2 linked regions of the Bombyx mori genome follow. The protein of the gene in region 1 purifies or fractionates together with the protein of each later gene. This does not show direct contact. Links are inferred from orthologs where the notes say so. Each region holds a gene or a part of one and is shown on either strand. Other genes may lie near its edges.

Region 1 (4,355 bases):
ATTGTCAAACTTTTCTTTTTGCTTATAGTCTGTGGTCAAATTGAGAATAGATTAAATATTGTTTGTCTTTTTTAATATTTGTCTAAATTGTGTCAAAACACGAAAATCATAACATATCTATATACTACACATTTGAAATACTTCAAAAATATTATTGGTACATACTTTTTTTCTTTGGCAAGTTTTCCTAGGGTCTTCTGTTTATTCCTCTGATTGTTGAAGAAGACAGACACTAACTGGAAATCTCTAACTAATCTTTTTCGTCTCGTTCTCTCTCTCAGTCTTCTGATGTATATATCAACTTGTGATAGCTTTAGTGCTATAAAAAATAAAAAAAACGGGATATGTCATTTTTTATTTATTATATATATCTTATATGTATTTAACTAAGCTATGAGACGTTTTAAAATCATAAAATAGATATACAGATCTTATAAAGCTTTTAGTCTAGCCTGTTCATAATATGTATCAAATAAGAGACGTCTCAGAGTGAATAATTCATATGTAAATTTCAAGCTCAAGGTCGGCAGTCTATCAGTCATTATTATGATTTTTTTAAAAGGATATTATTATATTAAAAACCACATATTTTATCAACCAAAAACCACTTATCTATTGAATATATATCTATATATAACCTACCAACATCTAATTCATCATCTTCTGGATTTAATGATAATGTTGAGATCAACTGCTCTGCCTCATGATCATGTTCCTGAAATTTCGACACTTTGTAGAACAATATTTTAATTTATTATAGTAAATAGTACAAAAAATTCATTCTTACTCTTTCAAAATCATCTCTATTTGGCATATACCCAAGTTGTGCTGCTTCGTCTACTGTTATAGCTAGGTTTGGTAGTCGAGACACTGCAGTTGGACCAAGTGGGCCATCATCTTTATCTGCACAATGTAGTGATGGGCGAGATGTACTTTCAATATTGCCCCATGTTGCTTTGCCTATGGTGCCTTCCAGGTACCTAGTAATGTATTCATCTTTTGCTTCTGTAATTGAAATTTATGTTTATTTGTTATTATTATTTATTTGTCTTTCTTATAACAATGATGTAAATGAAAGGATTTGATTCGAGCCCTACACCCCAGCAGAGGGTAATAGGAAAGAACGATGATTATGATTATTATTTATTTTTATTATTATATTTAATTAATAAATTTATATATAGTATGATAATTCTTTGGTAATCTTTCTAAAGTTCAGCACTACTGTACCACTGCCACCATGTGAAGCAGAACCTCCTTTGCTCTACCTATAGTCGCAGTTCAGTATATTTGTTTACAATGCTTCCATCGCTGTTACAGGTTTAGGAAGGAGTTTAGAAGAGTGCAGAGGTCTTAAAGAATCTGAGATTGACATGGTCAGTCCTTTTGCGGTGTCAATTTTTAGAAGTATTCTCAACAGATTTAAATAATTACTTCTCACCCTATTTATTATTTTTAGTACTGGTGTTAAATCGTTGATTTGAACTTATGGGATGATTTATTTCCAAATTATTCTTTTTTACTTGTGAAAATAAAGGATATGCATCATGTAAATTTAATCCCAACAAAATTTATTTAATGTAAATGTTTAATATATATTTCTTATTCTTGTTTAATATATATTTTGAGCTTCCATAGCCCATGAAAAAATCCTGTCTTAACATTGCATGTGGTGAGTTTATATACATTATTGAATGGTTGTGACCATGCTGTCACCATTAAATATGCAAAGTTACTATATCAAGGGAGTAAAAGGCTATTCGGTTTAAATGACATTTTTGACAACTTTACAGGAAGGCCATTCAAAGCTTAAAAATTGGAAAAAATATCATAACCAAAAAACGTCTTCAGCTATTTGAATGGAGTAAACGTAAATTGAAATTCAACTAAAAACATCGAACTGTTGATACCAAGTATACCTTTAATTACTAAGGTAATGTACGTTATACCAAATAGCATTTCACCCCTCGATATTATAAAACTGAGACTTAGTAATCATGCCTAAAGGTGGCTAGTAACATTTACGTAGTTGAAATCTCTTGAATCCCGTAACCACCTAACAACAACAGGTAGACGGTAAGCACGTCTACCCAAATATAAAAGCTGAAGCTTTAAAAAAAATTGAAATTCGAAATATTCACCATATTTTATTCAACAATGTTTTTTCGTTGCAGAAGCTATTTTTGAAAATTGTTATTGCATTTAGATAAAAAGTTACAAATAATAGTATGCATATACTAGGTATTCTTTGCCAAGGCATGCAATGTATGCTGTTTGATGCCAATGTTGAAAAATGAACCGAAGCACAGTGCTAAGACAGCAGATTACTGAGTAGCTTATATCATTAAATTACCTTCAGGAGTTCTTGTTTCAATATGTTTTGCTATATCCTCCCAGTTACCAAAGCCGAATTGTTCTATGGCATCTAATAATCTTACTTCTTCGTTAGCTGACCAGCTACTACGTCCTAAAAATATTCCAAAAGCCCCAGAGTCCTGGAAAAATAGAACACTCTTGAAAATCTATTTACTTTCTGTAATAGTATTACAGTAGTCGTTTATAAAGTGCTTACCACAAACTGATATGAATGATCGTTTTTGTGCTGTCCGATTTCAGCACCAAGAGAAAAACACTGAAAATGCATTTTATTGCATATTAATTTCTAAGTGACAATTTTAAATTTTGCGCCAAAACTATCAACAAAAATGGCAGTATCAACTACTTTACCTGCAAACAAATATCAAAATCAACACATTCAGTACATTTAACTCTTACGCCGTTTATTTCCTCTTGACAATATGTACAATTATATTTAGCGTAAAGATCTGAAAATGACATGATTTTTATTACAGTGAAAACAAACTTTAAACTTGTACGTTGGCAGGCTTCAGATTAGCGCACAAATTTCCAAAGCCATTTTACGTTTTTTATTCCCAAACATTTTGAGTTACCAGAGTAATAAAACATATTTTGTAAAATATTTTATTTCCTAAAACTTAACTACGCATTCTAACATGTTGAATAGATTTGAATCTACTATGTATTTGAAAATTAATTTGGTAGCGCAAGATTGGAGTAACACTACCCTATCCGGTCATCGGCGAGAAAATTAACCCACAGACACAGTTCACCGAGTTTCTCGCCGGATCTTCACAGTGGGTCGCGTTTCCGATCCGGTAGTAGATTCTGCGAAGCACTGCTCTTGCTAGGGTTAGTGTTAGCAAAATCGTCAGGTTTGAGCCCCGTGAGCTCACCTACTTGTTAGGTTTGACTGACATAGCCTCTCAAGGCTATCGGCTTAGGTAGAAAAAAAAACTACCCTATCGCTTCCCGTTGTTGTCACAAAATACAACTAAGAAAACTGAACAATGAACGATGCACAGAAATAATAAACCAATATAGGTCTTGCGATCGACAAGAGGCTTATATTAGTGTATTTCTTCCATGAAACCATCATGCATTCTAGTTTGAAGTGTGAGACAGTTTTTACAGTTACAGTTTACAGACAGTTCGACAAAATCAAAATCCTGTTTTGTTTGTAATTTAATGCTCTCATTTAGAAAACCGTATTACTGTGTGAAAAAGATTTTTAACGTTAAGCTAAGACGCATCATTCCTGTCGAATGTCTGATAAGACGTATTTTTACTACAATATCTCTTCCTAACGCAAGTATAGAAAAGGACGGTGATATTAAAATTCACGATGTACAGTATAATTTGCAAATTAATAGTCGAACTTACCAGGCAACCATAGACGTAAAATATAGACCTAAGCTAAATTTGAACCAGGAAACTGTTACTAGTCTTACAAATAGTGATAATTCCAATGAAATTCGTTAATTTCTAGTTTAAAAGCAGCTCTCTTATAATACTGCATATTAATCTGTGATAGTAACATGCTCCTTATGAGCGTTGCTGTAAGTGGTAAAAAGAAAACTACTACTTAATGGAACATGTAAATCCAAAATAATTTCTAACTAGTCTGTAGCTCCAAAACCTTACTACAGATTTGACCTAAAGGTTGTAAATACCAGGTCTGAAATCCCAAAAAAAAAACTTACTACAGATTATATTCTGTTGTATATGACAGCGAAATGTTTTTAATTCAAGTTTTCTCAAATCTTGCTTGAGCGTAGACAGAGAATCTATACATAAATGAATACAAAATTAAACTTTATTGTTACAACACAACAGCAAGGCATCTAAATATCTCGGTACCTTTAAAACTTAAAATTTGTGGTTCAACCTAGTAAATCTACAAATTATAGTAAAGTTGTGCTTAACATGTGCTACGTAACATAAGAAAGCGGATTACAGCTGAACATTCTGCTTTCAACCATGAAATCCAGTAAGCG
Region 2 (3,500 bases), on another chromosome or scaffold:
TCAAGGTAGGTGGCAGCATTTATGTTGTAGATGTATATGGGCTCCAGTAACCAATTAACACCAGGTAGGCTGTAAAGCTCGTTCACCCATCTATGCAATAAACAAAAAAAAAAGCTCCAAAATAACTTACTGGGCGCACAGGTGACCAATAGCAGTTCGAGGCACTGTTTAATCCAGAAGTGTTGTCCTATGTGCTCCCAGTTCTGCGAGCACACGACGTACAGCAGGCGGTCGAACACGCGCCGCCGCACGCTCTGGTCGTACACCTCAAAGAACTTGGCGCGGATCTGTGGCTGCGGGCAACGGAGACCCGCCAGGAAAGCGGGCTCCAACTTCATGGATAGTTCCGTCACCTTCAGCTGTTCATCCCTGCGTGATCGTATACAAATATTAGGATCTGTTAATCCAAGGTAGGTTGTTACTTTCATAATGCCGGAACCACACTGCGTTATGCGCTATTCGTTATGTGACTACGCCGTATTCGCCAAAATAATTGTTATGCGCGCAAACAACAAACATGCCATCCACACTTCGAATTTGTACGCTGAATTATGCCAAATAAGGCAAATATGAATACCGGCAAACGAATAGCGAATAACGCAGTGTGGTTCCGGCATAAAATAAATAGCATTTTTTGTATGTATAATATTCGTAAATCAACTTACCGATACACGTAGTTGATCAGTTCTAAAAATTGAGCATTGAGCTCGAGGTCGTCAGGGAAACGTTTCTCGACATATTGCATTAGTTTCACGAGCAGTATTGACTTTTCGCGCAGGGAAGGTACGGCCCCGCTGCTAGTGGTCGCGCCGCGGTGCATCACCCACTCCTCAACCATACGAATGATCGCTTTCATTACCTAAAAAATAAAATTTATTGAAGCTAATTCACGGCAAATCTTATTGTATGTTAACTACAAAATGAATAATTGATAAGTAATTTTACCTTAGAATCTGTAGTCTTTTCGATAAGACCAACTAGAACAGTTCCTATGAAGGTTTTTTTCGTATCGCCCGGCATCACGGAAACGCGAGCCTTTAGCAAGTCTAAGGCCAATATCTGAAAAGACGAAATATAGTATTAGAGAAATTATGAAAATGCGTTAAAAAAACATTGCACACAATCCAACAGATCTCAAGTGGCTATCGACGTTTTTAGATATTACAACGTGAATAACGTCGCCCGTCTTAAGACGAAGTTAAAATCTCAATTGGAACCATTGAGCTCCTTCACAATAAGTTTCGAGATATACAGTTTCGTAGCCGACATAAGCAAAATGATTACGCACCTACTATTATATTTTTAAAGGGTCCAGATAAAGCAATAAAGTTATACGAACCAACAAATCGGATATGGCTGCATCGGGGTTGGTGGCGACGTGGTCCCTAGCCATGCGCTGCAGGACGCGCATGAGCGGGAGCAGCAGGCGGTCGATGTAGGCGGGGCTGGAGGAGCAGCACGCCTTCAGCATCATGAGCGGCCCCAGCAGCGCGCCCGCGCCCGACGTGCCGCCCGTGCCGCTGCCCGCCGTCTTCTCGTACGCCGCCAGACCCTCGAACGCGTACTTGCTCACGCACGCGTATAGTGTTTCGAGCTCCTCGTACTATAATGGAAAATATATTAAAACTCGACCGTCACTAGACCATTTGATAGCGATTTTTGCATAAATAAATCACACAGCGCATAATAATAATAATATGTGTGAATGATATAACGTTTTGTTAATAGGGAGCGACCTAATCTAAATTAAATTACCGCCTTCCATGCACGTCGATAATAAGAGATTTGCAGAAACAGAGTAAAAAACTCTCACATTTTTTAAAATACTACACGAATATTATGCATGTATCGATCTGACCTCACACCTCAATATTGACGACACTCGCCTTAGAAGCTTGCGCGGCCCCCGTGGGCTCCGTAGGGAAGATGGCGGTAAGCTTGGCGAGCAAGTTGTGCGTCAGTCGCACGATTTTGGCATTAGTGGACGCGACGCAGGCGGCCAGCCCGCGCTGCAGCGGCTTCAGCGCCGCCAGGATCTGATCTCGACGCAGCACGCCCAGCAGGAACACCAGCAGCTCGAGCGCCGTGCAGGCATTGGCGCATGATGCCGCGTTTGTCTCTGCACTTGAGAAAACCTAAGCAGCAAATATTTATACTTGTAAATTAACAAAGGCGTCATTTGAATATTCTTGTAGTATTCTGTAATTACATGTTCATACTTTATCAAGCCAGGCAAGCTTAGGCTCGCAGAGGTGTGGCCAAACGTCGGGTTTGAGAGCAGTCTTAAGAAGAAGAACGCATCTTCGCGATAGCTGCTCTCCTGCGGTCGCACCTCCGCTTCCGGAAACGGTACCCTCGTTCATCTGAAAAAAGAAGAGCAGAAATAAAAACGGCTCAATTAAGAGACGGAGGATGCTTGTTTCAAAAACACTAGAGGGTTACCGTTTGGCACACCTGGCAAGCCAGTCGCAGTAGCAGGTTGACAACGACATCTACGTGTTGTCTGTCGAGCGGCTTGGCGGCGTCGGGCTCGAGCCTGGAGGCGCTGGCCTGCGGGCTCGCCCAGCCCGTGTTCAACGCCTTGCGACCCTCCGAGCTCGCGTCATCGGACGACACGCGCTTCATGGCGCCGCCCGGAGATGTCGCCACCTGTCCACAAACAATCCATTAAACAATCTATTGGATAGAATATTAAACACTACAGAAACCTTGTTAAATTCGTGCCATGTAGATCACAATGTTTAAACTTTATTAATTCATTATTTTCTGTATGTCAGGTGGTGCCTTTGTGGTGCCTTACAAGTAAAAACACAAACAAAACCATGTCACAGTGAACTAGAGGCTGAACAACAATTATAGCATTTTACTTATTACATATTACTTACTGGTGGTAGGAGCTCTTGTGAGTCTGTGCGGGTAGGTAGCACAGCCCTGCCTATTTCTGCCATGAAGCAGTAATGCGTTTCGGTTTGAAGGGTGGGGCAGCCGTTGTAACTATACTGAGATCTTAGAACTTATATCTCAAGGTGGGTGGCGCATTTACGTTGTAGATGTATATGGGCTCCAGTAACCACTTAATACCATGTGGGCTGTAAGCTCGTCCACCCATCTAAGCAATAAAAAAAAAGTTATATAATAACATTTTTTACAATTTACTGTTAGCGATAAAAATTGGAAGAACTTTTACTTGTCAGAGATCTGTTTCTTATTGTTCTTATGGCAGTGAAATATGTAACGATCAGTTAAGTTGAGATCTGTTATTAGGAACATATCAGGAAGATGTAGTGTACGTACGATGTTGTCGTCGGGCAGTGCGTGGTCCCGGATGCGCTGCAGGTCCCACTTGAGCACCACCTCGGCCAAGTCCACGGCGAGCCGGCGGTGCTCCAGCGAGGCGGTCGCAGAGAAGCCGAGCCGCTGCATGGCGCCCACCATGTGTCCCACCAGCGCGTGCCGCACCGGGTAGTACACCTGCACGTCACGTTGCTAATCATATCTAC

What was found. Proteins that work in one complex are often made in the same cells at the same time.
Region 2: the proteins of transcriptional adapter 2B (region 1) and transcription-associated protein 1 purify together in Drosophila melanogaster (affinity purification with western blotting; 4 studies listed by BioGRID, with this or other methods). This does not show direct contact. The link is inferred for Bombyx mori from reciprocal best matches to the Drosophila melanogaster genes Ada2b and Nipped-A.

The regions. Positions count from the first base shown.
Region 1 is NC_085131.1:6,658,637-6,662,991, forward strand, and holds the start of transcriptional adapter 2B, read right to left. Parts: upstream 2,945-4,355; 5' UTR 2,839-2,944; coding exon 2,728-2,838; intron 2,633-2,727; coding exon 2,573-2,632; intron 2,496-2,572; coding exon 2,354-2,495; intron 1,617-2,353; exon of another isoform or gene 1,006-1,616; coding exon 788-1,005; exon of another isoform or gene 716-787; coding exon 643-715; exon of another isoform or gene 320-642; coding exon 166-319; exon of another isoform or gene 1-165. Other genes in the region: WD repeat-containing protein 37, read left to right, coding at 4,339-4,355. UniProt on the Drosophila melanogaster protein: Component of several Gcn5-containing histone acetyltransferase complexes that regulate nucleosome organization; involved in acetylation of histone H3, particularly on Lys-10 (H3K9ac) and Lys-15 (H3K14ac).
Region 2 is NC_085110.1:5,827,481-5,830,980, reverse strand, and holds part of transcription-associated protein 1, read right to left. Parts: intron 3,472-3,500; coding exon 3,295-3,471; intron 2,650-3,294; coding exon 2,443-2,649; intron 2,364-2,442; coding exon 2,220-2,363; intron 2,136-2,219; coding exon 1,887-2,135; intron 1,604-1,886; coding exon 1,340-1,603; intron 1,060-1,339; coding exon 946-1,059; intron 860-945; coding exon 666-859; intron 370-665; coding exon 131-369; intron 1-130. UniProt on the Drosophila melanogaster protein: Part of the Tip60 chromatin-remodeling complex which is involved in DNA repair. Upon induction of DNA double-strand breaks, this complex acetylates phosphorylated H2AV in nucleosomes and exchanges it with unmodified H2AV.